2 linked regions of the Chlamydomonas reinhardtii genome follow. The protein of the gene in region 1 binds, or shares a complex with, the protein of each later gene. Links are inferred from orthologs where the notes say so. Each region holds a gene or a part of one and is shown in the gene's direction. Other genes may lie near its edges.

The links.
Region 2: the proteins of CHLRE_06g296983v5 (region 1) and CHLRE_02g142000v5 are in contact, whole or in part, in a crystal structure (PDB 6GUM), measured with the Arabidopsis thaliana proteins. The link is inferred for Chlamydomonas reinhardtii from reciprocal best matches to the Arabidopsis thaliana genes SAE2 and SCE1. Residues at the interface, in NP_179742.2 of Arabidopsis thaliana: Leu469, Met471, Gly473, Asn474, Ser475, Leu476, Glu479, Val480, Gly481, Asp483, Leu484, Asp485, Met488, Asn491, Tyr492, Asn495, Pro504, Thr514, Glu516, Asp517, Leu518, Gln519, Lys525; in NP_191346.1 of Arabidopsis thaliana: Arg7, Ala11, Arg14, Lys15, Arg18, Lys19, Lys28, Pro29, Thr31, Asp34, Gly35, Thr36, Val37, Asn38, Leu39, Met40, Glu67.

What each region holds. Positions count from the first base shown.
Region 1 is NC_057009.1:7,059,553-7,074,423, reverse strand, and holds CHLRE_06g296983v5 (uncharacterized protein), read left to right. Parts: upstream 1-5,550; 5' UTR 5,551-5,690; coding exon 5,691-5,762; intron 5,763-5,864; coding exon 5,865-5,960; intron 5,961-6,657; coding exon 6,658-6,762; intron 6,763-7,115; coding exon 7,116-7,232; intron 7,233-7,550; coding exon 7,551-7,631; intron 7,632-8,055; coding exon 8,056-8,230; intron 8,231-8,493; coding exon 8,494-8,765; intron 8,766-9,077; coding exon 9,078-9,242; intron 9,243-9,612; coding exon 9,613-9,687; intron 9,688-10,088; coding exon 10,089-10,187; intron 10,188-10,885; coding exon 10,886-10,994; intron 10,995-11,328; coding exon 11,329-11,471; intron 11,472-12,116; coding exon 12,117-12,213; intron 12,214-12,677; coding exon 12,678-12,832; intron 12,833-13,099; coding exon 13,100-13,233; intron 13,234-13,501; coding exon 13,502-13,679; intron 13,680-13,966; coding exon 13,967-14,146; 3' UTR 14,147-14,584; downstream 14,585-14,871. Other genes in the region: CHLRE_06g297016v5 (uncharacterized protein), read left to right, coding at 33-190, 616-709, 1,047-1,152, 1,533-1,650, 1,883-1,934, 2,202-2,305, 2,517-2,663, 3,416-3,457 and 3 more.
Region 2 is NC_057005.1:7,832,735-7,847,536, reverse strand, and holds CHLRE_02g142000v5 (uncharacterized protein), read left to right. Parts: upstream 1-5,980; 5' UTR 5,981-6,164; coding exon 6,165-6,265; intron 6,266-6,684; coding exon 6,685-6,805; intron 6,806-7,233; coding exon 7,234-7,308; intron 7,309-7,544; coding exon 7,545-7,598; intron 7,599-7,810; coding exon 7,811-7,939; 3' UTR 7,940-8,600; downstream 8,601-14,802. Other genes in the region: CHLRE_02g141900v5 (uncharacterized protein), read left to right, coding at 26-161, 478-519, 839-928; CHLRE_02g141950v5 (uncharacterized protein), read right to left, coding at 2,321-2,785, 2,956-3,014, 3,231-3,385, 3,757-3,798, 4,065-4,155, 4,494-4,521, 5,017-5,130, 5,483-5,719; CHLRE_02g142050v5 (uncharacterized protein), read left to right, coding at 9,031-10,707, 10,875-11,126; CHLRE_02g142100v5 (uncharacterized protein), read right to left, coding at 13,021-14,175, 14,411-14,489, 14,672-14,802. UniProt on the Arabidopsis thaliana protein: SUMO-conjugating enzyme that accepts the SUMO proteins from the E1 SUMO-activating heterodimer SAE1/SAE2 and catalyzes its covalent attachment to other proteins with the E3 SUMO ligases SIZ1 and MMS21.

The sequences.
Region 1 (14,871 bases):
TCTTAATTAATCATGAATGTAACTCCCCTCAGGCGAGGCGGGTGTGCTGGTGACCACCTTCACCATGATCGCGTTCAGCGGCAAGCGCTCCGAGGAGAGCGAGCGCATCATGAACATCATCCGCAGCCGCGAGTGGGGGCTGCTGCTCATGGACGAGGTGCACGTGGTGCCCGCGCAGATGTTCCGCACGGTGGGGGCGGGGGGATGGGGGGGGGCGGGGGGGGGGCGGGGGGCGGGGGGAGTGTGTGTGTGGGGGGGAGAGGGAGTGTGTGTGTGAGAGAAAATGGGGGGAGGGGGGAGTTAGGGGAGGGGGAGAAGGGGAGAGGGGAGAAGGGAGAAGGGGTTAGGGAGAAAGGGGGAAGGGGGAGAGGGGTGCTGATTTGGCAAGCCCCACTAAGAAGGGTTTGAGGGCAGGTCGGGGGCGGCAGGCAGGAGGCTAAGGAGGCACCAGACAGCAGAAGGGGCAGGGGGGATTAAGAGGCAGAATGGCGGAGGGAGAACACTCCTGAGCCCTATTCGCCTCGCCCCTCTCTCTCACCCTGTCTGCCCCCCCACCCTGTCTACCACTCAACTAATCATGAATGTAACCCACCCCCACACCCCTCCACCCCCCAGGTGATCAGCACGTGCAAGAGCCACTGCAAGTTGGGCCTGACAGCCACACTGGTGCGCGAGGACGAGCGCATCGCAGACCTCAACTTCCTCATCGGTAGGAGGGGGATTGCGGTGGGTGGGGGGGATAGGGGGAGGGGAGAGGGGAGGGGAGGGGAGGGCGCAGCCTAGGAGATTGGCAGGTGGCGGCTGTGGGACGCGTCATCGCGCTGGCACGGCCCCACGCACACGCGCACGCAGGCCTGTGTGACATGAGGCATGCCACATGCGCGTCAACCCCCTCCCTCCCCCCCTGCTCCTCCCCCTCCCTCCCTCTCCTGCTCCTCCCTCAGCGCATCCTGTACTGCGTTTCCAAACATCCTTGCAACCCCCTCCCCCTCCCCCTGCTCCTCCCCCTCCTCCCTCTACCTCCTCCCCCTCCCCCCCCTGTGTAGGCCCCAAGCTGTACGAGGCCAACTGGCTGGACCTCACTCGCGCCGGCCACATCGCCAACGTGCAGTGCGCCGAGGTGTGGTGCCCCATGACAGCAGAGTTCTACAGGTGGGGTGGCGAGAGAGAGGGGGGCGGGGGGGGGCAGGGGGGTTGAGGGGGCAAGTGGGGTGGCGGGGGCGGGGAGGGAGGGTGTAGGGGAGGGGAGGGGAGGGGAGGGAGGAGAGGGAGGGGAGGGAAGGGAGGGAGGAGAGGGTGTAGGGGGCGGGGGAGGTGCAGGGAGGTGAGGGAGGAGGAGAGGGTGTAGGGGGGGGGCGCGTGGGAGGGAGAAAGAGCGCCTGCGAGAAGGGAAACGCGAGGGTACGGAGGTGGACGGGGCGCTGTGTGTGTATGCGTGTGCATGGTACGCCGGTACGCGTGTAGAAGCTCCAAACTCATACCCCAAACCGCAAGTACACACACACACACGTTTCGGACCCAACCCCCCGCAGGGAGTACCTGAAGAAGGAGAACAGCGGTCGCAAGCAGCTGCTTTACGTGATGAATCCCAACAAGTTCATGGCGTGCCAGTTCCTCATCGACTTCCACGAGCGAGTGCGGGGAGACAAGGTGGGGAGGGAGGGGGAGGGGAGGGAGGCGGAGCGGGAGAGGGGAAGCACGGGGAGAGGAAGGGGGGAGGGGGTTGGAAAGGAGGCGGGGAGGCAGGGGAGGGCGTGGCGCGAATGCAAGGTTGCCCGACATCAGGCTTGACGCCGGTCATACACTCATACCACCTCAAGCCCATTACCAACTCCATCCCCCAACCCTCAACTGCGCCCCCCCCCCACCTCCCCCCCCACAGTGCATCGTGTTCAGCGACAACATCTGGGCCCTGCGCGAGTACGCCACACGCAGTGAGTGGCGCCGCCGCCAGCGCCGCCGCCGGCAGGAACAGCAGCAGCAGTGCCGACCTGTGCGTGCCGCCGTGTCCCCATGCTGCTGCCTACCCCCTGCCCCCGCCCCCCCCACTCGCCTCACCCGCCTACACCCACCCCTACCACCCCATGCCCCCCCCCCACACACGTCCCCCCTTCTTGAATACGGTATTTATGAATGTAACCCCCTCTCCGCATGAACGGCTACCCCCCCCCCCCCCTTATCTCCCCCCTCCCCCCTGGCAGTGCGCAAGCCCTTCATCTACGGCCCCACCAGCCACGCCGAGCGCACCCGCGTGCTGCACGCCTTCAAACACAACCCCGACATCAACACCGTGTTCCTGTCCAAGGTGCGGCGCGGGGGGGGGAGAGCAGAGGTGTTGCTGTGTGTGTGTGTGTGTGTGTGTATGTGTTTGTGTTGAGAGCCCAACGTGCCTCTCACATCCCTCCCACATGCCTCCCACCACATCCGCTGCCCCTGCTGCTGCTCCTGCCCTCTCGCCCCATCCCTCACCTCTCATCCCTCATCTCTCACCCCTCATCCCTCATCCCTCTGACCAGGTGGGTGACAACAGCCTGGACATCCCGGAGGCCAACGTGCTCATCCAGATCAGCAGCCACGCCGGCAGCCGCAGACAGGAGGCGCAGCGCCTGGGCCGCATCCTGAGAGCCAAGCGCGGCAAGGCCGGCAGCGGGCACGAGGGCGAGGTGGGGCAGGGGCAGTGGGAGTGTGCGTGTGAGTGTGTGTGCGTGTGCGTGTGTGGGTGTGGGTGTGGGTGTGTGTGCGTGTGGGTTTGTGTGTGTGTGTGTGTGTGTGTGTGTGTGTGTGTGTGTGTGTGTGTGTGTGTGTGTGTGTGTTGTTCGTGGTGGTGCGGTGATGTGTGTGTGTGTGTGGGGGGGGGGGGGGGCGGGGGATACCGTACTGCCAGGAAATATTTTTCATAATTCGTTTTTTGGCGTTGAGAAAAACAATCTCGAAAAAAGTTAAAATGAAAAAACTTTATAGCTGCGTGAAAACTGGGGGTTACGCGAGGAAGGGCAGCGGGGTGGGGCACACGCGTGTGTGTTCCGACGGTCACACACACACAGCGCCACACGTTTCTGGATGCACCGGATCATAGTGCGCATTGGGTCGGCTGCTGGGCCAGATAGGTCGGAGAGCTTGGAATGGAGCAGTGGGAGTCGTTTCCCTATGGTGTACAGTACCGTATGCTGTCTGGTGGGGCTGCGCCGGCGTGTGGCAGAGCAACCAATCCCGCCCCAGCAAATAAAAGTTGGACGTTGGAGTCCAACCGGCATTGTGGGGGCATGTTTGGGAATCGCCGACATGTCCGTGCCGCCGCCCCCGCCCCCGCCCCCGCCATGCGTATCTCAGCTGCTCACCGGTTGCTCCGCGGCCCTCCACATCCCCGACCCCGCATCCCCTCTCTTTCCCCCCCTCTCCCCGCCCGCCTTGGCAGTTCAACGCCTTCTTCTACACGCTCGTGTCCAACGACACCCAGGTGCGTGCAGGGGGTGTGGAGGCGAGGCGTGTGGCGGCGTGGGCGTGTGGCGGCGTGGGCGTGTGGAGGTGTGGGCGTGTGGAGGCGTGGGGCTGGGCGCCGTTCCAACACACACACACACACACACACACACACACACACACACACACACACACACACACACACACACACACACACACACACGAGCTGTCCCGACTGTCCTGTATGTGTCCGGTCCTGATGCGCTCAACCCCCACAGGAGATGTTCTACTCCACCAAGCGCCAGCAGTTCCTCATCGACCAGGGCTACTCATTCAAGGTGGGTGGGGGGAAGAGGGGTGGATGGATGGGATGAGTGGAGGGGAGAGGGAGCGGGGCGGAAGTGGCAGTGGCGGCGGCGGTGTGTGTCTGTCTGAATGATAATGTCCTGACTGCGCCTCCGCTATCCTCTTTCCTCGTCATCTCAATACTGCTTTCGTACGACAGTCATACCGCTCCTACCCCTCCTCCGCCTCCTCCTCCTCCTCGCCTCCCCTGCTCCAGGTGGTGACCAACCTGCTGGACGCTGCGGGCGGCGGCGAGGGCCTCATGTACAGCGACCGGCCCAGTCAGCTGGACCTGCTCAGCCGCGTGCTGTCGGCGGGTGAGGGAGAGGGGGGGGCAGGAGGAGGGGGGAGGAGGGGAGGGGGTTGTAAATACCAGCCCAAACTAAACCAAACCCAACGAAAACGAGCGGAGCACAGGGGGCAGGAGCGGGGGAGAGGAGGGGAGGGAGGAGGGTAGGGAGGAGGCAGGGAAGAGGGCAACGAAGAATGGGAGGTTGAAGGAAGGAAGAAAGGACGGGGCAGTTGCGGGACGGGGAGCGATGGGAAGTGACATACAGGGCCGCGCTCGGCAGCAGTAGCACACCGGCAGCTCCCTGCTCCCAGACCACTTCACCGTTCACACCCTCTCTCCCATCACTGCCACCCACCCTCGCTCCCACGAGTACAACCCTCTCCTCCGCGCTCTACGGCTTCTGGGCTGGCAATGGCTTACGGTATCCTGTCATTGGAACAAACCAATCCAACCCACCCGTTTCCCCCACAGGCATGGAGGAGGCGGGCGTGGAACACCTGCGCGACGAGGACGCCGAGGGACTGACGGCGGCGGGCGGCGGCCGGCCGGCGGCGCGGCGGCGGCTGGGCGACATGGCGGCGCTCACTGGCGGCGCCGGCTACCGCTACATGGAGTACGGCACTGGCGGCGGCGGCGGGCGCGGCGGCGGCGGCGGGCGCGGGCGGGGCGGGTACCAGGGCACCAAGGCGCAGTCGTGGGCGCGCAAGCTGGGTGTGGCGGCGAAGCGGTGAAGGGGGGGGGAAGGGGAGGGGAGGGGTGAGGAGGGAGGGGTGGTGATTCAGGGTGTGGTGGTGAGTGTTGGAGGTGGAGGTGGTGAATGTGGGGTGGTGAGGTTGTGTGGGGCTTGTGTGTGTGTCTGTCTTGTGGATGGGTGCGGGGGTGCGGTGCACGGGTGCGGTGTGAAGAAGACCAATTCATCCTGGGCGTGGGTGTTGTACGTGACTTTCAAAGGCGGGTGTGATACGGTACTGGGTGGGTGTATTCCTGCACCGGTGTGTGCCGGTGTGTGTCCAGGGCCGTGGCAGAGGCAGGATGGGCCCGCATTTAGGGCTTTAGGAGAAGCCAAACAGTTTACATGCATGGCGCAGTTACGCACTGCGGGCGGGTATGTACGATATAGGGGGGGAGCAGGCTGCAGGCAGACAGCCAGTATGCTAGCAGGCAGACTCAGGAGTGCAGGAGATGGACATGTATCAGATGTATGGACGACTGTTACAGTTTTGTGCAGGGCGTGAGTTCAGGAATTGCTGGCGGTAGGATGCCCCGGAATGAAGGGGCTGTGCTGCTGCCGTGCTACGGTGCGCACGCTTCGAATACGGTTATACGGTACTTTGCGACGGGCAAGAGGTGCCCCTGTAATGGGGCCCAGCAGACTCCACAAAGCTTTTGTCACCTTGGGCCCCGATGCCCCATGCCTCTGGGCACGCCACGCATGACACGGTCGACGAACCGCCTGACCGCGAACTTTACTTTATTTCCGTTTCATAGGTGAGGTATTCATACCTTCAATTGCATAACCTTGGCGCCTTGGCGGGGCGCTGGAACCCGAAAGTCGCCCTCGCGCCCTCGGCACTTTAAATATCGACCGCTATAATTCAACCATCTAATCAACTAGTTTGTTTGATTCATAGCAAAGATGGAGGCCCCAAAGGCGCCTGCGGAGCCATCCTGGCCCGGCGTGCTGCGAACCAAGGAGTTCAAGGAGAAGGTTAGCAATTCGTAGGCTTGCCTTGTATTTTAAACACTGTGGGACCAATTGCTAGCAAGCGACTTGCGCTTGGGCTGACATTTAGGCGGGCACCCGTCGCAGATCAAGTCAGCAAAGGTGCTGTGCGTGGGCGCTGGCGGCATTGGCTGTGAGCTGCTAAAGACGCTGGTGTGCACGGGCTTCCGGAACATCGAGGTGGTGAGTTGGGGCCGAGTCGGCCGGGCCTCGACCGGGGGGAGGAGTGACACTGGTAGGTGGAGAGGTCCCTCCAAGTTGGCAGGGCGGTCTTACAGCCCAGCTCACAGCCGGTGTTGCCCCGAAAGCAGACGTGAGCGGGAAGGGTGAGGCGGCCCTAGCTGCCGTCGTGGCGGGGGGGCCGAGTAAACGGACATGGGAGGAAAAGGAGTGGGGGCTGGCACCTGCCGCCTGAAGTGTTTACAGCCACGGGTGTAGGATGCCGTGGGAGGGCAAGACTCCGCGCCCCGGGTGGTGTGCCCTTACGAAGGCGTCCTTACGGTGGCGGGACGCGTGTAGGCCCGTGAGCCCGTGGAGCTGGGCTGACACTTGACTGGGGGCGCCACAGCGGGGTCGTGGCCGAGATACGATAGACACTGCCGAGTGCCGGCCGGGGGGGGGTGCAAGGATTGGTAGGGAGGAAATCGTGAATTCCAGCCCAAACTGAAGCAAACCAAGCTACAACAGGCGGAGCGGCTACAGGCACAGGCTACAGTGACACGCGTGTGCTGCCGTGGGGCTGGGGAGGGTGGGTGCGGGGGCACGCACTTACCGCTAGTGCTGACTTGGCTCACTTCTTGCGGACTGAGGGATATGCCCCCGCCGCCCCCGTGCCGACCCCATGCCAACCCCACCGATTTCCCCGTTCCCCCGGCGGCAGATTGACCTTGACACCATTGAGACCTCCAACCTGAACCGCCAGTTCCTGTTCCGCAAGCACCACGTGGGACAGAGCAAGGCCAACACCGCGGCGGCCGTGGTGCAGGTGCGGGCGCGCTGTATCGGGGTGTGTGGGGAGTGAGTGTGTTGGGAGTGAGGCCAGGGGAGTGTAGGTTGCTGGAGGGAGGTGGTGGTGTGTTTTGGGGGCGGGCGGGAGCATTGGGGCGTGGGCTGCGGGCTGGCCGTGCGGACGACGATGACGGCTGGTCACCGGCTGGGCGGGTGGGAGTTCCCAAGCACGGGCGTGAGCACAACGGTACCGTATCTTGTGGTGTGGCTGATCGCTCCATCGGTTGACACCGCCGCGTTTCTAAGCTTTCAGTTTACGCCTGAAGCAAGTACACAACCTGCCTACCAAATAATACGTGTGTGTGTGTGTGTATGTGTGTGCACCCGCAGGGCTTCTGCCCCGGCGCCTCCATCACGCCGTACCACGCCAACGTCAAGGAGGGCCGTTTCGACGTGGACTTCTTCCGCCGCTTCGACCTGGTGCTCAACGGCCTGGACAACTTGGAGGTGGGAGGGATGGGGCGGCGCATGGGGCATGGGGTGTGTGTGGAAGGGTGTGCGTGGGAGGGTTGAGATTGTTTCCATTCCACGGATTGCAGTAAGGACAGCTAGAGCAAACCGTGAGATGCAGAGGCAAAGAGCGCGGGGGAGCCCGTGGATGGGTTTGGGTGTGGGTTTGAACTTGTCGTCGGGGTGGTTTTGTCGGGGGCACGGAATGGGAGGATGTGTCGGGGCCCGTTCACAAGCACATGCACGACTCACCGCTGCCCCCCCCCTCTGCCGCCACGCTGCCTCCACGTTGTCGCTGTTGCTGTCACCTGTCAGGCCCGGCGGCACGTGAACCGGCTGTGTCTGGCGGCGGAGCGGCCGCTGGTGGAGAGCGGCACCGCGGGGTACCTGGGCCAGGTGCGTGTGCGTGTGTGTATAGGGCGGGGGGGGGGGGGTTAACTTTGAACCAATCCCGTAAGGAAACAGTCGCGCTGCAAGGAGAAACTGCAGCCGCATATGCGAGGGGGGGGGGGCGGGCGGGGCGGGGGTTACATTCATGATTAATTAAGAAGTGAAGTCGTAGGCAGGTACAGTTGCAGTTGCGGGGGGGGGAGAGGCGGGGCAGGTAAAATGGCGCAGCACATCATGTTTTGTACGCGCCCCTGAAAAACACATGCGGCCGAGGGCATGTGAGATGGGTTGGGTTCCCCAGTTCCTGGCTACCACCCAACCAATGCCTGCCACCCCCAAACGCCCCGCTGTGCAGCCACCCCGCCCCTTCACTCTCCCTCCTCTGTGCCCTGCCCCCGCCTCTCCTAACACCCTCCCCCCTGGTGCTCAGGTGACGGTGCACATCAAGGGCCGCACCGAGTGCTTCGAGTGCAGCGCCAAGCCCGCGCCCAAGACCTACCCCATCTGCACGCTGCGCAACACGCCAGACAAGCCCATCCACACCATCGTGTGGGCCAAGGACCTGCTGTTCAACAGGCTGTTCGGCGCGCCGGACGCCGTGTCGGGTGAGAGGACTGGGGGGTTTAAGTCTGAACCAATCCATTTAGAAAGGAAACAGTAGCGCTGCAAGGAGAAGCCGCAGCCGCACGAGTGAGGGCAGGGGGGCATTGTTTTCGCCATTCCCAGTCAGGGGAATCAGAGCCCCGAAGGCGAAGCCCCTTAGGTCAAATCTGCAACAACCCCAGCCCAATGTGTGCCGCCCCAACGCGCCTCTACTTACCCAAACCGATCCTTCACAATCGTCCTTACCCAAACCCACCCCTCACAGATCTTGACGACCAGGCGGCACGCGAGGGCGGCCAGCCGGGCAAACAGGAGGAGGGCGACAAGGAAGGGGGCGAGGGCAAGGAGGGGGCAGCCGAGGCGGGGGAGCAGAGCGAGGAGGCGCGAGCCGCCGCCGCCTCGGCCGCCGCCGCAGCCGCGCAGGCCGAGGACCCGTCCTTCTTCCTGCGCCGTGACGGCGAACCGGCGCTCGAGTACGCGGCGCGTGTGTTTGGCCGCGTGTACACCACCGACATCCAGAGGCTGGCGGAGGTCAAGGTGGGTGCGGTGGGGTGTGTGTGTGTAGAGTGTGTGTGTGGGGGGGGGTGGAGGTTTGGAGGGGGGTGAAGGTTTGGAGGGGTGTGTGTGGGGGGGGGGGGTGGGGGGCGGGTGCGCCGCGTGCACTTGCCGCCCCGCCCCGCCGACGAACGTTTGGCGACGCCCCTTACGCACACAAAACCTATACACACGCGGGCGTCGCACCGCATCGCAACACACACGTACAGTCCTGCGTGCTTCCTTCCCTTGTGCTCTCTGACACCCCTACATATTCATACACACACACACACACACACATTACACGCACCCCAGGAGCTGTGGGAGAAACGGCCGCCCCCCCGGGCGCTGCATCTGGACCAGCTGCTGCCGCCGGCCGAGAGGGCGGCGCTGCAGGCGGCGCTGGACAAGGCGGCAGAGGCGGGAGCGGGGGCGGGCGCCAGCGCGTGCAAGCTGCTGGGGCTGAGTAACGCCAGCCAGGTACGGCGTGTGTGTGTGTGTGTGTGTGTATGAGCAGGTGTGTGTGTGTGTGTGTGCATGTGCGTGTGTGTGTGTGTGTGTGTGTGTGTGTGTGTGCGTGTGTGCAGGTGTGTGTGTGTGTATGTGCGTGTGTGTATGTGCAGGTGTGTGTGTGTGTATGTGCAGGTGTGTGTGTGTATGTGCGTGTGTGTATGTGCAGGTGTGTGTGTGTGTGTGTATATGTGCAGGTGTGTGTGTGTGCATGTGTGTGCGTGTGTGTATGTGCGTGTGCGTGTGCGTGTGTGCGTGTTCTGTATTCAAGGTACCGACGGTGCCGTCGACACTAGCGATGTACCCATACACCCACACGCTCGCTCCACCCCCTGTGCAGAAGTGGACTCCCGGCCAGAACGCGGCAGTGCTGCTGCTAGCCACGGCGCTGTACCACACCGTGCGGCCCAGCGAGGTGCGCGTGTGTGTTTGGGGGCGGCTGAAGTACGGTATGATACCGGTTAAACCAAGAAGGGGGAAATGTCACGACAACCAACCGCAGGGTGCGCTGCCCCAGTGCCCAGCCCTGCACGTTGCTCGAACACATGCCCCCCGACCCTCCTTGCGATATGAGTATACTCAGTCCCTTTTGGGCCGCTTCCTTCCGCTTCCCTCCCCGTCGGCACTTTGCCTTTGTGTTTTCATCATTTTAATCCGCATGAACAGCTATCCCCCCATGCATTGGGTTCGGTCTAGTTTGGGCTGGTATCTACAACCCCTCTGCTCCCCTCGTCTGCTGGTATTTACAACCCCCCTGCTCCCCTCCTCCCCTGCTCCCCTCCCCTCCTCCCCTCCCTCCCTCCACACACCGTTCAGGTGGGCTCCGCCGCCTTCGACAAGGACGACCTCCTGGCTGTGGAGTTCGTGACCGCCGCATCCAACCTGCGCAGCAGCTGCTACGGCATCCCCGAGCAGGTGCGTGCATGAGTGCGTGCGTGCGTGCGTACGAGCGATTGCGGGCGGGGGGGGGTTGCAAGGATTGGTACAGAGAAGTGTAGCGAGGTAGGCAGCAGGGGGGGGGGTGGCGTGCGTGCGTGCGCGCGCGCGTGCTTGCGTGCGATTGCGGGGGGGGGGGGTTGGGCAGCGTGTGTTGGGCGGCATGGATGTGTTAGGAAGGCGCGCAGTGTGTGTGTGTTTGTGCTTGCTGCTTTCCTATGCGTCGTTGCTTGTAAGGGCCCTGGATGGGCCAGGGGGGCCGGCGAGGGTGTGCGTGCGGTCCGTAAGGTCCCAACGGAAGGTTCTGGCGGGGGGGTATTCACGGCACCGTCAAGACGGCGCACCTTCTTAACGTCCTTCGGTGCTTGCTTGCACACACTCAAGCAGGCACCGAAGGGCGTTAAGAAGGTGCGCTGTCTTGACGGTGCCGTGAATACCTTCACCTCTTTCCAGGCGCTCGCTGCTCCATTGTATGAAGTGTTACTGCCGCTGCCTTTTCACACTCCTCACCTTGCCTTCCTCAATGTCTCCATTCTTGACAGTCGGGACCTATTTCGTTGGACTCGGGCATATAAACCCCTTAGCTAGTCATGAATGTAAACCCTCAACGCTGCATCCGGACTGGTAATGCCTGGGATCCCCTCCCTCCCGCTCTCGCCCTACCCCTCCCTGCGCAGTCGCTGTTTGACGCCAAGGGAATGGCCGGCAACATCATCCACGCCATCGCCACCACCAACGCCGTGGTCAGCGGACTCATCGTCACCGAGGCGCTCAAAATCCTGGCGGGTGAGGGGCCGGAGCAGGGTTGGGTAGCTGGGTTTCAGGATAGGCCGGGGGTTGTATCACACCTCAGATGCGTAAGCCGCATACACGCACACATGTCCTTCCGGTTGAGTTTTACAACGCATGTACACACGTGTTTCACTCCTTTGTGATCTCTAACACACCTTCATTCTGCAACAACCTGTCAACATCTCCTGGTCTTGATCAATCAACACTCCCTTCCCCCTCCCCGGACGGACGTCGGTAAAAACGCGTCTGCTATGCTACTGTACCTGGCTACGCCTTCACTTCTTAAATAATCATGATTGTAACCCCCCCTCCCCTCCCCCCAAAAAAGGCTGCCTGGGCTCGCTGCGCAACACCTTCCTGTACGAAGTGCCTGTGGACCGGCGGCTGGTGGTGCCGGCCACCGCCTGGGAGCCGCGGCCCAGCTGCATGGTGTGCGGCAAGACGCAGCTCACCCTGCGCATAAACACCAAGGTGCGGGCGGGCGGGCGTGTGTCCGTGTGTGTGAGTGTGTGCACTGTGTGTGCGTAGTGTGTGTGTGTGTGTGTGTGTGTAGAGTGTGGGGGGGGAGTGATTGTTGTGTGTGTATGTGTGTGTGTGTGTGTGTATGTATGTGTGTGTTTATGTGTGTGTGTGTGTGTGTGTGTGTCGAGAGAGCGTGTGTGTGGGGTGTGTGGGGTGTGCCTGGACCCCCAGGTAAGTCGTGGGTTTTGTTTGTCGCCTCCGCGTGTCTGTCCTGTGCTGTTGCGCGTGCCATCGAGCCCGGGCGGCGACATTTATCGCCGGCGCCGCTTGCCCTGCTGCTCCACGACGCATCGGCCCTCATTCCATAAGTATTATCTTTTGCACCTAACGCCCTCTGCTCTGTGCTCCGCTCGTTTTCGGTTGGTTTGGTTTAGTTTGGGCTGGTATTTACAAGCCCCCACCGGTGTGTGTAATGTGCCTGGACCCCCACCGGGGGCCGCAATGCCCCTGTCCCCTACATACGTTTTACCACCCTGCCTTACATGGACGGCTCCCCTGTGACAATTGGGACCTAGTTTGTTGGGCTTGGGCATATCACGTCCCCCGCACCACCCAACACACACGCTCCCCACCGCGCTGCGCCCCCCCCCCCAGACCACGCCGCTGTCTGGTCTGGTGGGCGCGGTCATCAAGAAGCGCCTGGCGGTCAACAGCCCCAACCTCATGTGCGGCGGCTTCCTGTACGAGGAGGGTGAGTGGAGAAGTGTGTGTGTGTGTGTGGGGGGGGTTGGAGGTGGGGGTGCGGGCCAGAGGGCTGGGAGGGCTGGGGGGGGGGGCTTGGCGCACGATGTGAATACTGGTGGGTTGTGGATGGGTGCGTCAGGTGGGGTGCTGCTGCGCTGTTCCGTTCACACTCACGTTACAGAAACATGCGGCGTAGTCACCCTCACAACTTGCACGCGCGGTGTCGAACCTCTCCCCTCGGGCTTCCATAACACCCCCCCCCCTCCCCGTGCCCGCTCCACCCCCGCCGCTGGCCCTCCACGCGCACCCCCACCGTCTACCCCCACCCCCACCGTCTACCACTTCCTTAACTAGTCATGAATGTAACCCCCACGTTTCCCCCCCTACGCCTTCACTTCTTAACTGATCATGAATGTAACCCCCCCTTGCCCCCCCCCCCCCCCACTCCGCCCCCCGCCACCCCCCCAACAGGCGAGGGCCTGGAGGAGGACGAGGAGGCTGCCTACGCGGCGCTGCTGCCTCGGCCCCTGCGCGACCTGCCCGGCGGCGGGCTGGGCCACGGCGCCATCCTGACGGTGCAGGACCAGAGCCAGCACTGGGGCGTGGACGTCATCATCGCGCACACGGTGGGGAGGAGGGGAGGAGGAGAGGGGAGGGAGCAGGGGGGGAGGGGCGGTTCAATGATTAGGGAGCGGTCCCCCATTGTCAGTAAGGTTAGGGGAGTTGCGTCACCGCCCCCGTTCTTCACGTGAATGGCTACCCCGTCCCTGCATGATCACGGCGATTTCGCATAGGATCATCAGTGCACCGCACAACACGCAACATCTCAGTCTTCTGACTCACCTTATGCCTGACCAACCCCCCCCCCCACACACACACACACGCGCACGCAGGAGGACCTGTCCCCCGACGACGCGCCCGAGGGCTTCATCCTGGAGGGGGCGCTGCCCACGGCCTCCGCACCGGCGCCCCCGGAGCAGGACGGCGGCAAGCAGCAGCAGCAGGAGGCGCCGTCGGCCGCGGCAAAGTGGGTCGGGGTGCGCATGTGTTGTTGTTGGGGGCGTCTGCTGCTTGCGGGTTGGCTGGGCGGCTGTTGCCACGACCCTGTGATAGCGCCCGACTTTCAAGCTGGGCCACGAAAGGTACACCGCCGCGCGGCGCCTCCTGCCCCACCGCCCCGCGGCGCGCCAACCCAACCCAATTTCCCTGCCCCCTTCCCCAACATCATCTCGTCTTAATTAATCATGCATGGAACCTCACCCGACCCCCACACCCTCCTGTATCCCCACCGCCAGGCGCAAGGCCGCGGCAGCCGTGGCCGAGGACGCGGCGGGCGTGCTGCACATCACAGACAGCGACGACGACGATGACGAGCAGGAGGGGAAAGAGGAGGAGGGGCAGCAGCAACAGCAACAGCAGCAGCAGGGGGCAGGCACATCGGTGGCGGCGGGAGCTGCGGCGGCTACTGCCAATGTGAGCTGGTAATGGGGTGGGGGTGGGGGTGGGGGTGCGGACATCGCACGGGCAGCGGCGGGCGGTGAGGCATTGGAATGGCTTCGATCCCGTGCTGTCGCCGCCGCAACACGCACTCCCACACCTTGTCACCTCCCGTGCTTTCCCCGCCGCAGCACGTACCCACGCAGCGCCATTGCACCGCACGCACAGCGCCTGCGTGTTCACGTCCCGCTCTTGTGCCATTAGCGCCGATGCAAACACTGACACAAACACAAACACAAACGATACCCTCCGGCGCTCAACAGGACTCCCGGAAACGGCCGCTGGACGAGGACGGTGACGGCGACGGCGCGGCGGCTGGCGGCGGCGGCGGCGGCGGCGGCGGCGAGGAGCGCGGGGCGAAGCGAGCCAAGGCGGAAACGGCGCCGGCCCCGGCCGAAGACAAGGACGGCTGCATTGTGATTGACGATGACGAGGACGACTGAGCTTGAGGCGTGGGGGAGCAGAGCTGCGGCCTTGAAGGCTGAGCTTGAGGCATGAGGGAGCAGGCCACGGGAGCAGGCCGAGCTCGGCGAAGGGAGCAAGTGGAGCAGCGTAGAGGAGGAGACGGCTTGCGGTGAGGGGCGCGCGCGCGCTGGGAATCGCTGGAGGGTGCGGGAGTGGTGCGGGGTCGCAAGGGGCAAAGGGTTCTCGATGCGTCGCTATACTCAAAACGTGAGTTTGGTTTTTTGTGTGGGTTGCGAGCGAGCAGGATGACAGCGCTTACAGCCTGCGAGCTTTAGCAGAGCAGGGCCGAAGAGCCGCAAATAGAAATCGTGTTGGATCCGACGTCTGTCGATCGGCGGCGCATGAGGCGGGGGGCTTGGCGGGAACCGGGAAGCCTGCCGTCCCGAGCCCATTTGTTACACACCAAGTCACTTTCTCCTGCTGCGCATGCACACACACATATAACGTCTACTAGCCTGCAGTGACCCACCTTATCTATTAGCGCGCATGCAAGCAAGCTCACACGCCTGAACCCGCGCAAACTCATTTTGCGACACTTCAGCTTCGTGCAGCACGCGGTGTCAGACCTTATCTACTTACGCAGCTGTGCAGCCAGCTGCCAGCCATGCAGCAGCGCCGTCGTCGCGGCTTAGCGTAGCGCGCGGCTTAGCGTAGTGCGCGTCTTAGCGTAGCGCGCGGCCGTGCCGGGCGGTGCCAAGCAGCA
Region 2 (14,802 bases), on another chromosome or scaffold:
CACACACACACACTCTTCCCTCCAGGAACAAGGAGGTGGCCAGCACGGACCACATGGAGGACGTGAAGCGCACCATCCTGGGCATGAGCGAGTTCATGCAGGTCATCTCCGGCAGCCAGAAGTACCTGCAGCGCAAACTGGAGAGGCACCAGAAAACCATGGTGCGGGAGGAGGGGCGGGGTGGGCTTAAGAGGTGGAGGTGGAGGTGGGGGCCCACAGGAGGTGGGGTGGGGGCGTGGGGACGGCATGGGAAGTAGGGAGTGTACCCGTCCGTGGTGGGGTTGTACGGGTGGTGTACTGGTGTGTTTTAGTGTAGGGCCTGAAGGTGGGCGGACTGGGAGGCTAGGTAGACATCTGTGCCGGATGGAAGTGCCTTACAACCTGTGACCCTACACTCCACACACCCGCCCGGCCCACCACGCCTCGCATGCCATGCTGTCCCGCCGCCCCACCCCACCCCCGTCACCCCCGCTGCAGGAGAGCAACCGGGACCGCACCCTGTTCTACACGGGGCTGGAGGTGAGCGCCTGCGCCTAGGCGGTGTGTGTGTGTGGGGGGGGGGGTTGCAAAGATTGGTACAGAGAAGTGTAGTGAAATAGACAGGGGGGGAGGGGCCAGGACGTTGGGTTGGGACTGCCGTGAACACACATCAGTAGCGGCGAGGGGAGGTGTAAACTTCACACACGCCCTTCTCGCGCCGGGTGCGGGCCCTCGTGCCCCTGCGGCACACCCGCGTCCTGACTGCCCTTGGCTGGCCGCCACTGCCGCACGCCGCCGCCTGCCCCCCGTTGGCTCCCCCACCCACCCCCACCCCTCCCCGCCCTTCCCCGCCCTCCAGGTTGGCCTGCTGCTGCTGGTGGGCTTGGTGCAGGTGCTGGCGGTCACCGGCTTCTTCAAGCCGGGCATGATGAGCAAGGCGTGCGTGTAATGCGGAGGCGCGGGAGCAGGGCCGGGTGGAGCTGTGGCGGCCGCATAGGGCTGCGGCGGTGGGCAGACAGGCTGGCAGTGAGTGGCAGCTGACGAGAGAATGACTGGAAGAGAGAGATTGGATAATGAAAGATGGCATTGGTCGAAATTGGGGCAAGGCAGTTGGAAGCGGAGTGGCGACAATATGTGTCGTGAGCCTTATGAGCTGCACCTAGCGCCGGCGCGCGCTCAGTGCAGGGCGTGTGTGAAGTGTGTAAGGAAGGTTCAGGCGCGCAGGGCTCGTGTTCATTCTCAATCTGTGTATACCTTCCGTCCGTTTGCACGTCCCATATGGTGACACAGGATAGCGAGGGGTTGACGCGCCACAAAGTCCACACACAAACCACTAACTGTCTGGCACGCCGGCCCGTGGCGTGTGTTGAGTGAGAGTGCCGCAAGCAGAGGCCGTCCCTGTCTCAAACCTTTGTTCCGTTCATGACACGTCAGCTTTGTCACACACCAACGTAATGGTCCGCGGCTCCGCGCCCATAAAGACCTTATTCCGTATGGAGTGCTGATCAGTGCTATGCCGGGGGGGGGAGCAAGTGCTCAACCCCACCCCTCCAAACCCCTCGGGGACCCCAGGGACTGACCGACCGACAGCTGACCGCTTAGGGGAGGGGGAATCAACCCCTCCACTTGAAACCGCAATCCTGCTTATCGACCGATCTCGAGAGGCTGTGTGGTTGCTGCCTGCCTGCACCATTTCACCTGCGCGGGCTTCCATCCATGGACACGTCCCCGAAATTGTTACGCCCACCCGCCCATTTTGCATCACACCCACAGTCCAGTCAAATCTCCCCCCGCAACGTTAGCCCTGGCGAGCCTGAGTGGGGGCCTCTACTGCGCTCCGTGTGCCATCCGGGCCGTGCCTCCCTTATGCAACACCTGCGCCCCCGCGCCCGCGACGTAGTCCAAATGTTCGAGATGTCAAACCCGGTCTAACTATGCGGCCAATTTCTGCGGCCGTGCGCTGCCGCCGCAAATTATCGCCAGCCGCATACCGTAATACCAGTGCTAGTGGCCAAACCATAACAACGTCGCGCTGCCAAGAACAACGCAGTGCCACAATGTAAGCTATGCTCATTCCATCATGCCCGATATCAACGCCCCACGACGAGGCTCCGACAGTCCGACCCCTGTGCATGTGCAAGGTTCATGCCACACGCATTGTGCGGCTCCGTGGCTGTCCCGGGATTATTGCCACCGCTCCCCAAATTCACAGCACAAGCAGTACTACGGTACTCTACGTCACAATCAAGAAAATGATGCTACCGTATGTAAGGCCACTGAAACTGCTGAACCCCATACCAGCCTTGCGCCTGCCAGCTTTGTGGTCCGCCTCCTCCCCTGCTCATGCCTGCACAGTGAGGGCTGCCATCGCCGCCACGGCCACCTCACCCACTTTCCCACCCACGGAGGTCTCCACCTCCGCCTCCGCCGCCTCTACCGTCGCCGCCTTGCCCTTCCCGCCTTCCCCCTCCGGCGCGCCCAGATCCCCTGCCGTGCTTATGGACACCACCACGCCCTCCCGCCCCACCTGCGGCGCCTCCTGCAGCTGCTGCGCTCCCTGCCGCGCCCCGTCCTCATCCTGCTGCCCCGCCTCCGCCTGCGCCTGCACCTCCGCCGGCCCCTCCTCCCGCTGCTGCGCGGGGTCGGGCGACCTCCACGGCCCCACGCTCTTGTACCCGCGCTGCATCCTGCCGCCGCCCCCCAGCAGGTCGGGCAGCCGCTCCGCCGGCACCAGCTTGGTGAGCTCGGGCAGGTAGTCCGCCCCCAGCATGATGATCTTCTTGCGGGTGCGCTCCTGCAGCAGAGGCTGAGAGGGACAGAGAGGGGGGCGGGGGCAGGGGGGGCGGGGGAATAGGGGCGTCAAGGACAAGAGGAGGGGCCGCGCGCAACCTCGGCGCTCGCCCTAGGCCGCGCCCAAAGACACGCGCAGCGGCCGCTCCCCTCCGCTGCGGGTGCCCGGCCTGCACCCGGGCTCACCTGCACCGCCGCCCACATGCCGCGGAAGATGAGCGGCGTGTTGATGATGAACATGGTGCCTGCGGGGTGTGAGGGGCACGTGCGTGCGCGTGTGTTTTGCAGAGCACAAGGAAACCACGCATGTGTATGTGTGGGGCCGTGTGGTGTATCAAGAGAACACATCTGCACAAGTCAAAGAAACAGGTGCAGTGTATATGTGTATATGTATAGGTACATGTTTGCGTGTGCGTGTCGGCTGGGGGTTGCCCTGGCCCTGCTGCGGGCGCGCTGCTCACCCAGGTGCTCCGGGTAGTAGTCTTGGTCGATCTTGGAGAAGGTGTTGAGCAGCCGCTGCGTGGCGGCGTTGAAGTGCGCCAGGCTGAGGCCGGCCAGGTCGATGATGACGGTGGTGGTGCAGATGGGGCGGCCCGCGGCGGCGGAGCAGGCGGGGCTGGTAGGAGGGGATGGGAGGCGCAGGCGAGAGGGGAAGAGCGGGCAGGGTCACGGGAGTGTGGAAGATGGTGGCCGGGGGGACCCCACATGCAACTCGTCCACGTCCCGATTTGCGGATCATAAACCGCAACCGGTTCTTCTCTTCGTCAGTCCCCCCCATCGGGCTACTTTAGCTTGGCTTGCTTTAGTTTGGGCTGGTATTTACACCCCACCCCCATCGGTACGCGCGCCCCCACGCCTGCGGTCTGCCTCGCTGCACCTCTCTGTACCATCTTTGCAACCCGCCACTTGTGCGCTGGAAACCCGTGCCCGTGCATCCATCATCCAGCAGCATCCCCCCCCCGCCCGCCCGCCCCCCTGCTAACTCACAGGTAGCAGCGCAGGTATCGCTCCCAGGTCCAGCAGTGGTACCTGCACAGGCCGGCAGAGGAGGAGGCAACAGGCGCGTCAGCAGGTGGCGGGCGAGGGCACACAGGGTGCGCCCGCGCCGCGCTCGGGAGGAGCCGCACGGGGTCAAACTCCAACGGCTTTGGTCGTGTACGCTTCAGACCCATTATCACCTCTTCCTTTCAGTCCGACTTCAGAGCCATTGGAAGGCGCATACGGCACGTGGACCCCATCCGCCCCGGCGCCACACCGGCGCCCCCCCCCGGGCCGCCCCCCGCCTCCCGGTCCACCTGATGAGTCGCTCCACTGAGATGACCTCGAACAGCTTGGCGGCGTCCGTGCGCCCCAGCATCTCCACATACACCGGCCGGCCGAACTTGTCTGTGGGCGCAATGGGTGCACCGCATGTGTGTGAGGGAGCGCGCACTGTTTGAGATGCCGCTATGTAGCAACCAGGGGTCTCCTGCCCATGCGGCGTGAGGTGTGAGGCGTGCCGGGGTCCTGGCCGCTGGGCTGCAGCCACGCTGGACAGGGTGCTGCCAGCGGCCCAGTCCGCGACCGCGACCGCGACTGCTGCCGTGTGGCCACGCCGGCAATGCCCTCCCCCCCTCAAAACACATACACACACGATACACATACACACACTCCCTCAGCCCCGCCGGGCGGCGGCGGCCCCAATACCGCACGATAGCCCCAAATTCTGTCCCCCGGTCGCCCACCAGTGTTGAAGGTGAAGTGTGGGTACACCTGCGGAGGGATCGGGGGGAGGCAGGGGCCGGGGGACGGCAGGGGCCGGCGGCAGGCATGATGTGCGTCAGTAACGCGGCGGCAGGGGAGGTCGGCACCAGGTCTGCCAAAGCCGTGACCCAGCAGCGCACGAGCCAACACCACTGCAGTAGCACGCCAGCTAGCACCCCGGCACTACCACAGCCTCTCAAATATACGTGCACGCAGCTTTGCTGGTAGTGTGTAGCTGGTGCAGCTCTCCCCGCCCTTCCCGCTCCACACACCGCCTTTCTCCGGTGCTCACCCGGCAGCCACGCATTCGCACGACACTTCCCCCGCCCCGCCCCTGCCGTGATCGCCCTGCAGCCCCCCCCCAGCCCTCCCCTCAGGCCGCAGGCCCCTCCCCTCAGCCCCCCAGCCCCCTCCCCTCAGTGCAGTCCAGCGCATCACCACTGCGTTTGATTCCTTCGGTCACTCCCCCCAGCCCCGCAGCTGCCCTCCAGCATTCCGCCCCACCTCCAGCAGCGCCTCCATCTCCGGGAACTGCTCTCCCGCGGGGTCGTCCCGGTACAGCCCTGTGATGCCCTCCGATTGGCGCCAGGCGCGCATGTCCCGGTACATGGACAGGGCCTGAACCGGGCGGAGGGGGTTGGAGGGGGTGGAGGGGGTGGAGGGGGAGTGAGGACGGGGCAGCAGTGGCAGGCGGCAGCCGAAGAACCTGGCAGTGGCCGCCCACAATTCGAGTAGCGGTAAAAACACGCGTCAGAAATGATCTGGCGGACTTCCAGATTACAAATGAAGGTAGCAGACATGCAGAAGTGCAGTGGCGGAGCTGGTGCGTGCGACCGGCTGTAGCCGCGTTCCAACTACCGGTTTGAGTACCCCCCACAGCGTTACTCCCCCTCCAAGCCCCTCCTCATTTTATCCTTCCCAGCACCGTTCCTAGGCCTCCTCCCCCTGCACTTCCCCTGCCCCCTCACACCTTGTCCACGTTGAAGTCCCGCGCCATAAGGAAGCGCAACAAAGTAATGTCGGCGTCGTGGTCCGGCACTATTAAATTCTCCGCCGTGAGCTGCTCGCGGAGTTTGCTAAGCGCAGCCTTCTGTTCCTCGCTGGGCGTGAGGTACCAGAACGCGTCTTTGTCCGTGTAATTGTCAGCAGCAGTCGCGCTGGGGGTGGCGGTCGTGGCCGCGCCCCAACCCGCGCCCCATCCCCACATCTTTGGCTGGTCTTAAGGTTCAAGAAAGGCTTTGTGAAACTCAGGGTGCGCCACACGGGAGCGCGCCCACACCCGGAAATCAGTGACTAGTCAACGCTATCGCGTTCTGGGCCAGGGTTCCTCTAGCGACTGAGTATGCTGAGACGAATACTGTATGCGCCCCTGAGTCCACACCATCTCAAGAGGGACTCTGCATCGACTCCATCCTGTTGGCCCTGCGCTGAGTGAGTTTGTTGCTACACGCTACACTGCAATACATAAAAGAGCCATATATCTACTGTCTTCCCATAAACCCTGGCTGTGTAAGAGCGAGCTACAAATTTTCCCGCGAAGCTTCCACCCTTGCCAACGCGGGAGTAAGCCCCTGCATCAAGCAAAGGGCGCACGTTAGAGCCTTGGATCTTGCTGGGGTCAACACAGGAGCCACAGCTGCGAGCCCGCTGAAATGTCTGGCGTCGCACGCTCACGCTTGCAAGAGGAGCGGAAAGCCTGGCGGAGGGATAAGCCGTTCGGCTTCCATGCTCGACCAGAAACCGCAGACGACGGGTAAGCGGGGAAGCGCAGCCTTCAGGCACCAGCCCGCCAAGTGGTGCACTAAGGGCCTGGGCCCACCCAGGCCTCCGCCCAGGCCCCAGGCAGCTGTTCTGCTCATAAGCGCGACTTAAGATGTGTGGGCATGGGCAAGGGGTGCCTGCGTGGGCGTGTGTCTGAGGGGAAGGGGGTGTCGTAGTAGCCCACCCATGCCAGGGCACCTGGACGGGTTAGCGTAACGTGGTTCCACACACGAGTGGCGACCCAGCCGGATGGTGGCCGGGTGCGCAGCTAGGGTTTGACTCGCAGCAGAGCTATCGTCTAACACCACGCAGCCATAGTCCAGACCCGCAGGTGACCGCTGCCGTCCTAGCGCACAGGTCGATCAGTCGCCCCGGCCCTGCCGTCCTTGCCCCGGCCCCTCCCCCGCCCAGGAGCGTGAACCTGATGAAGTGGAAGTGCCACATCCCCGGGAAACAAGGCACGGACTGGGAGGGCGGCTTCTACCCGCTCACCATGGAGTTCAGCGAGGACTACCCCACCAAGCCGCCCAAGGTGGGGACTGGGGAGGGCAGGCAGGAGGCAGGCAGGGTGGGGTGGGGGGATTTGAGGAATTGGGGGGTAGCAGGGTTTAGGAGGTGAAGTGGAGCACGAGGTACAGGGCGGGTGCGGGCTGACGGACGCGAAGGGTGGGGCGGGGCAATTGTTGGAAAGGAAAGAGGCTGGGCCGGTGGCTGTCTGCTGACCAGCGACTCGTGGAAGCCTGTGTGCGGGCTGAGGCCGGGAAGGGCGGTCGTGCACGGGGGGTCCTGTGTCGCGGCCTGCCATGTGTCTGCTGCGCCATGCAGCGCACAGCACACGCCACGCCGACGCCCCGCTGCACCTGCACACGGCGCCGTGCCCCTGGCCCCCAGCCTGTCATCAGACCGCCAGCGCTCACGGACATTGATGTGTGTGCATATGTGTGTATTGCCCCTGCGCAGTGCAAGTTCCCCGCGGGCTTCTTCCACCCCAACATCTACCCCTCCGGTACCGTGTGCCTCAGCATCCTCAACGAGGTGAGGCCGGCGCACCCATGGTCTCGGGGGGGGGGGCAGGGAAGCACGTGGTGTACTCCTCGCAATGAAGCCAGGCGATCTAGTGAGCGGCCGCAGTCCTTTGCCGCTGGAGTGGAACTGCAGCATGGTGACCGCTCGTATCCAATGGAGACCTTGCATATACCCATTCATCCCGGAACCCGCCTGACCCCACACACCATCCTGGGCCCCTCCTCCCCCTCTCGCGCTGCCCCCAGGACGAGGGCTGGCGGCCCTCCATCACCATCAAGCAGCTGCTGTTGGGCATCCAGGTGGGCGGGGGGGCTGGGGCGGGTCTGGGGAGGGCGGGGGGCTGCTGGGCAGGGGCCTTGCTGGTTTGCCATGGGCGTGTGAACGCGACGGACGCCACGCCCCAGGTCTGCTGTATCGCCCACACAACCCTGCAGCGCCTGTAATCCTCCCCTGCCTGGTGTCCCCTCCCCCTCCCTCCCTGCGCTGCCGCCACCCCCCACCCCCCGCCCAGGAGCTGCTGGACACGCCCAACCCCGGCAGCCCCGCCCAGTCCGACGCCTTCGTGCTGTTCACGCAGCAGAAGGCCGAGTACGTCAAGAAGGTGAAGCGCCAGGCGCTCAACTACCCGCCACCCTCGTGAGAGGGAGTCGCAGGCGGCAGCAGCGGCAGCAGCGGTAGCAGGCAGCAGCAGGGGCGGGGGAAGGAGCTGTAGGGAGGAGATAGACGGACGTGCAGGAGGCATGGCAGGGATGTGGGCTGTGCTATAGGGAGGGGCATTGGGACCTGTCGGGGCGGAGGATGCAGGGCGACGCAGGCTAAGCAGGTAGCAGCCCAGCTCCAACGACGCACAGGCGTCCGAGTGCTAGCTGTGTCGGGTGCGGTGGGGCGTGGGTCACGGGCACTGGTTTCCCGAGCACCAAGAGTGCGGTCGGGCGGTCACGTGGGCGTGGAGACTGATTTCTCGTGAGCAACAGGACCAAACAACTGCACAGAATGCGCGACGGGCCGTGGTGTGTGCATTCTTGCTCTTGCAGCACTGAGCAGGCTCATGAGCTGATGAGGCTGATGACCACATCAGCAATTGCATGTAATTTGCCCATGCTGGATTGCTGAGAGCCCATTGATTGCCCAGCGCTGTGTGGGCGCGGCACAACGGGGTGGTGACCTGGGGCGGCGCAGACGCGCGCACCTGTTGGGCCAATTGGGCCTACCTGTAGCGCCTGTAGAATCCGAATCTGCGAGCTCTGCGAGCTCTCAGGGGAGAAGGCGACTGATGTTAACCAGGTTAAAGGGCACCAGTAACTGTTCCATGGGGCTCCCTGCGTACGCACGACAAAGGGGTGAGACAGCGAACGTGAAGGGGCCAGACTCCACGTTCTGCGCGCGTGCCGCGGGGACAGTTCGCTGCGCCTGCCTGCGCGCGCGCCGCATGCATATGGCTCGTTCCACGTTTAGAGGCTGCTTCAGGGTTTCGGCGCGTAACAATCCATGAAATTAACGCACATTCCGTGCTTTGCATACGGGCGCAAATCACGCGCTGCATGTCGCAATCAACTATAAGGAGGCCTTAACTCGCACTGCTTCAGGATTTAAAGGTCATAGCGTACCAGCAAATAGTGGGCTCGTCCTAAGGCTGCAGTGGGCGATCAAGGTACCTCCATGTTAACGCGCTCCCGCAGCTTGTCGCCAAACATCCCGCATATGGCCATGAGCGCAGAGCACAACGATGCTATGCCAAGTTTGGATGACATTATCCGAAGCCTGGTTCCGGAGGCCGTGCCGGGCCTCTTTGCAGGCGGGCAACTGGATAGCGCGGGGGGCTTCGCGGCCTGCCGCCTTGCCAGCCGGGCTCTGCGCGACGCGCACGACCCCTTAGTGCGCAGTATGAGGCTGCGCATTAATGCAGCCGCGATGTCATTCTACCAGCAGCTTGGCCACTCGCCACTTGCGCGCTTTCCGTTCTGCGAGGATCTCACCGTCGAGTTGATCGACCACAGCGAGGCTTTGAATTACACAACTCTCGTTCATGTTGATGACGATGACCTGGACGAGCTGATGCGGGATCCAGGGCCGAAGCCAGGGCCAGAGCCGAGGCCGGAGCCGCACTGGGCGCCGGAGCCGGAGCCCACCTCCCTGGGGGAGCTGGTCGAGTTGGGTCTGGCGGGCTGCAGCGCCGCAGCGCTGTCCCGCATACGGCGCCTCGCGCCGCGTCTACTGCTAGTGTCCACAGACTGTGAGGCGCCGGGTGAGGCCGTCGGCGTGCTACTGCGGCGCCTGCCGCGCGTTGAGGTCCTGGACCTGTCCGGCTGCTGGGGCGTCCTGGGCGGGGTGGCTGGCTCCTACGACGTGGAGCGGGAGCACCTGGAGCTGCTGTATGGTGCGGTGGCGGAGGCGGCGGCTGGCAGCGTCATGCACCTGGCCCTGCCCCGCCTGCGCTTCTGGAACGCGCTGGAGGGCGTGGGCGCGCTGGCGGGCTGCGCCTCCCTGCGCGTGCTGGATGCCTGGGCGGGGCACGACTTCCGTGCTTGGCCTCGGCAGACGGATGACTCTGTGCCGGAGCTGACGGAAGAGGTGGTGGTGGCGCTGTCGCGCCTGCATCAGCTGCAGGAGCTCTACCTGGCCTGCCGCGACCCCACCATCGGCGGGCAGCTGGTGGAGTGTGTGGTGAGCAGCCACCGCCCCCGCGGGCTGCGGCGGCTGGGGCTGGCGGGCTGGGTGATGGGCGCCACCTTCACACCCTTCGAGCTCGACTTTGAGCCGACGGCCCGGGCCGGCGGCGGCAGCGGCCGCAACAGCGGCGCCGGGGCGGCTGCGGGGCGCGCCGTCATCATCAGCCGCATAAGCACCGCCCTCACCCACGCGCCGGCCGACCACGGGCTGCACGGCTATGGCAGCATGCTGCCCATGGCGGGCATATTGCGGGGCGTGCTCACGGCGGGTCAGCGCCTGCCGCTGCTGCGCCTACACACGCTGACGGGGCAGCCCTCTAAGCCGCTGGCGGCGCTGGCGGACCGCAGCGACGCCGTTGAGCTGTGCCGGCTGGACGGGCGCTCCATGCCGGCAGCCCAGCTGAAGGCGGTGGTGAGGAGCCTGGGGCTGCCGCAGCGCCTGACGCTGTGGCACGGCGCCTGGCGGCCCGCTGCGGCTGCGGAGGCGGAGGTGGGGCCGCCGGCGGCGCCGCCGCTGCTGCCGGTGGGAGTTCTGGAGGGAGCAGCAGCTGGTGGTGCGGGGGCAGGCGAGATGGGTGCTGGGCTGCTGCTGCCGCAGCTGGAGGCGGCAAGTGCGAGGCAGGTGCTGGACGCGGCCATGACGCTCGCTGGTGGTGGCCGCGGCGGTGGAAGGGGTTCAGTGGCGGTGGCGGCGTCAGAGGCGGTGGCGGACGAGGTGTTGAAGGCCGCTGTGCAAATGGTGGGGCGGGGTGGCAACAGCACTGAACGGATGTGCTACATGCGCACTGCCTGTCTGCCTGTCTGCCTGTCTGCCTGCCTGCCTGCCTGCCTGCCTGCCTGCCTGCCTGCCTGCAAGCGCACTCCTCCACCCGTCGCCCCTCATTCCCCGCCCATGCGCAACCGCAGGTGTTGTTCCGGCTGTGGCGGGAGGCGTGGGCTGCAGGTGCCGCCGGTAGTGGTGGTGCCGCTGCAGCGCCCCAGCAGCAGCCGCAGACGCGGCAGGGCCCCCTGCACCCACAGGCCAGCCGCGTGAGTCCAGAGCTGCCGGATAGGCTGACGCGGCTGCAGCAGCTCGATGCGGAGGTGGCGGAGCTGCGGGGGGCGGAGCAAGTGCGGCGGGCGGGCGGCGCTGCTGGGGGAGCAGTCGGCGGGCAGTAGGCGTGCAGTAGGCGTGCAGTGATGAGGCCCGGCGGCACTGGAACCAATTTGGCGGGAACCAATTCATCGAAGGCTGTGCCTGGCCAGTAAAGGTCGGAAACTACCGCCGTCGCCTGTCAATTGGATCAATTCGGTCAATTTGGTCCCCGGGCGGAGGCTAGGGAATGTACAGTACACTGAGAGGACTAGTGGACAACTGGCCTGCCTGGTGGTGCCTGTTAAAACCGCCCCCAGCTATGCCAAGGAGATGAGGCGAGTCCGGAAGATCTTCGCCCTGAAACCTTGTACCGTAGTCAGTACTGTTGTAGTGTGGGCGTGAGCCATATTCCTTGGATTTATCGGCAACCTGAGCAGGGGGGGGGGTACGATTGTACGAACTAAACCTCCAGACCCCATGTCCCAAAACCTCCCGACCCCCCTCAAAACCCTTTGGTTTTTAGCCAGGCCGGTGTCAATCGACTGCTCTCGGCGAGCTCTACAATTGTATACCTCCGGTTCAGCTGGAGGCACAACTTGACTGGCAGCCATGCCACACATGTCCATGTGTCCATGGCCGACCACCGACCCTTCTGTCAGACTACCGGGGCGTGCGCTTAAGCTTACAATTGCGCTGTACATATGATGTTTGGGATTGTGTGCCGGAAGAGATTGGTCGACTTTCTCCCGGGATCATGTGAAGAATCCCGGGATTCATGTCACGCTCGATGGCCGGCGGCAGCCTTGTCGCCATGACCCACACCAAGCCTTGGCCGTTACAAGTCAGAATCAGTTCGCATAGTCTCCATGACACCAGTGAGAGACGCTCGAGTGGGGCTCTACGCTACTACGATGCCGATGTGGACGGACATGCGGCCGCTTTCCAGAGGCCAAACGTTCTGCAAATGCTTCAGTATGTGCATGCTAATGTGTGCTAGTGCTTGTGCTAATGGGCGGAGCGTTTAGAGGGGCGTTTAGGGCGCAGAGACGAAATCTGGCAGTCCCACCCACATCCGCGTGACGAAACCTTGGGGACCCCCAGCCCCGACGACCGACCCTGAACTTTGAGGGCCCATAACTTTGCAATTACTACCCTGATTGAAACTCTGAAAGTGGATTTGGAGTCCTCTCGTCAAGCTCTTTCGTTTTAGAACATGGGGCCTTTCCCAGTCGAAACTACCCCCCCCCCCTGTATCTACAACCCCCCCCTGACCTGAGACTGCTTCAGGGTTTCGGCGCGTGATACTCCAGCCACATGTCTGTTGGTGCCGTAACATGTTGCTGCCGCACAGTTGCAATGCGACGCCCGAGCCAGAGGAAAGACCGGAAACCCTGCCTTGTGCTTTTATACACTTTCATTTTCGAAACCGCGCCGCTCTGACAACAAAGGGAATGCCACATGTGGTGGTGCGCCATGCAGCGTCTACAGCAACTCCTCAAACCCACCGCTCTGACGCCACTCTACTGCGCTTGGCTGGGATTAGAGCCTGCACGCACACGCTCACGCCGCACAAGGCGCGGGGCTTTGATTTCAAGAAGAGCGGAGGAGCGTAAGAAGATAATACTGAGCCGTATAATATACATAACAATTAACATGTTCAGGTGCAAAATGCAAGAAACTTCGTCACGCACGCAGGCAGGTCCACGGGCAGGTCCAACACACCGCCCACAGGTCACAAGAGTCAAGTGCCAGCCTGAAAGCAATGCTACGCCCCATGCCCCAACCCGCCCCCTCGCAATGCTGCTGCTGAGACCACATATTGCGGTGGTGCTCGCACTCGTCACAATGGTTGCCTTCTTCCCCCAACGTGCTACTCGCAGCTACCCGCTCGTTCGTTCTGCGCCCTCTCCCACTTCCATGCGTAAGCAGCCCCCCACACATACATCCGCTCCCAGTCCATCGCCTCAGGCCCGCCTACTATGACCCCGCCCCCGCGCCCCCTGCCCCCGCGCCCTCCCGCCCAGGCGGCGGCGCCGCACTGCCCGGCCTGCTGCCGCTGCCCAGCCTCATGGACCGGCGCTGCTGCTGCAGGTCCGCCAGCGGCACCCCCTCCACCAGAAGCAGCGCCCGAGGCACAGGCACGCCCACCGCAGGCGGCCGGCCGCCGCGCCGCAGCACCTCCGCAGACGTCAGCGCTCCCGCCCGCGCGCTGGGCGCCGCCGCCGCCGCCGCCGGCACCACATTGCCGGTCCAGGTGCGGCCGCCAAAGCCGCCGCCCGCGGCTGCCGCGTCCGCGAATGTATACTCGCTAAATGTGCGCGGCGACAACTGGCGCTGCAGCTGTTGCAGTTGATGTTGTTGGTGCTGCTGCTCGGCCACCCGCATGGAGCCGCTGGACCGCCGCCGCAGCCCGGGCGGACCAGCGGATCCGCGGTCCCCACCCGTCCCGGCAGCCGCCGTGGCGCCCCCTGCTGCTCCCGAGCCTGATCCTGCTACGGCCGTCGCCGCCACCCCCGCCTGCTGCTCCTCCCCCTCTGCCGCCTGTTCCAGCGGCTCACTGAGCGGCAGGCTGACTGAGCGACGTGCCACCGACACGGACGGGGAGGCGGACGCCACCCCACCGCCACCGCCACCAGCAGTCACCTCGTCCTCTTCACGCAGCGCCCACAGCCTGTCCGCCCCAGCCGCCCCTGCACTACCCGGAGTACCCGGCCCCGCGCCCTCTCCCGCTTCACCCGCCGCCTCCGCCTCACAGCTGCGCCCGCCTGCCCTCCGCCGCGCCGCCTCCCACGCCGCCTGCGCCAGCGCCTCCACCTCCTCCGCCGCCTGCTGCTCCTGCCGCCAGCGCTCCACCGCGCCGCAGCGGTGGCACTCGCAGCCGGCGCCGCACAGGGGCCCCACCACGGCGTACCGCAGCGGCAGGTCGTACACGGGAGTGCCCAGCACCATGGTGGGCGGGCCGCGGCCGGGGGGCCCGGACCGCCCCATGTGCTGAGCGTGCGGGGGCTGGCCCGGGCCGCCCTGGGTGCGCGGCCAGGCGGCACTGGGCGGCGGGTGGCCGCCTGCTGCGGCTGCGGCGGCTGCGGCCAGGTGCATGGGGCCGCCGGACACGAAGGCCAGCGGCAGCTCGCTCTGTGTGGGCAGGGTGGAGGTCGTGAGGAGGGTGAAGGTGCGAGAGAGAGAGAGAGCGGTAAGTAGCGCGTGTGGGGGGCCAGTGCAGTATAGCGGTCAGCGATTAGAGAGAGCAAGGACGCCTGTATCTGTGTGACAGCTACCGTGTACGGAGCGCCGGGTCGGTGTGCAGTTGCTGTTCTGGGAGTCCCCGTGTGTTGTACCCCGCACAGCCCACGACCCACTGCCCCCTCACCTCGCCCGCCCGCAGCGGCACCACAGTGGCCCCCGAGTCGTCGTAGGCCATTGGGAAGCCCAGGCGCTGGAACTTGAGCCTGGGGCGATCAAAGGGGATGGGGCGCGGGGCGTGGGCCAGATTGCTACGACGAGGCACCAAGCACTGAGCGACTGACGTATGCAGTCGATACAGCAGCCCGTTCTAGCCCCTGCACGTCCGGTCCAACTCGTGGATAACCCACACCCTCCCTCCCTCCCTCCCTCCCTCCCCTCCTCCCACCTGAGGTACGCCACCACCACGCAGTGCGCCGAGAAGTAGGCCAGGCACATGGCCGCGCGCACCGGCTCCCGCTGCAGCGCCACCAGCACACCCAGCGCCAGCCACAGCGGGGCCAGGCCGATGTTGGTGTA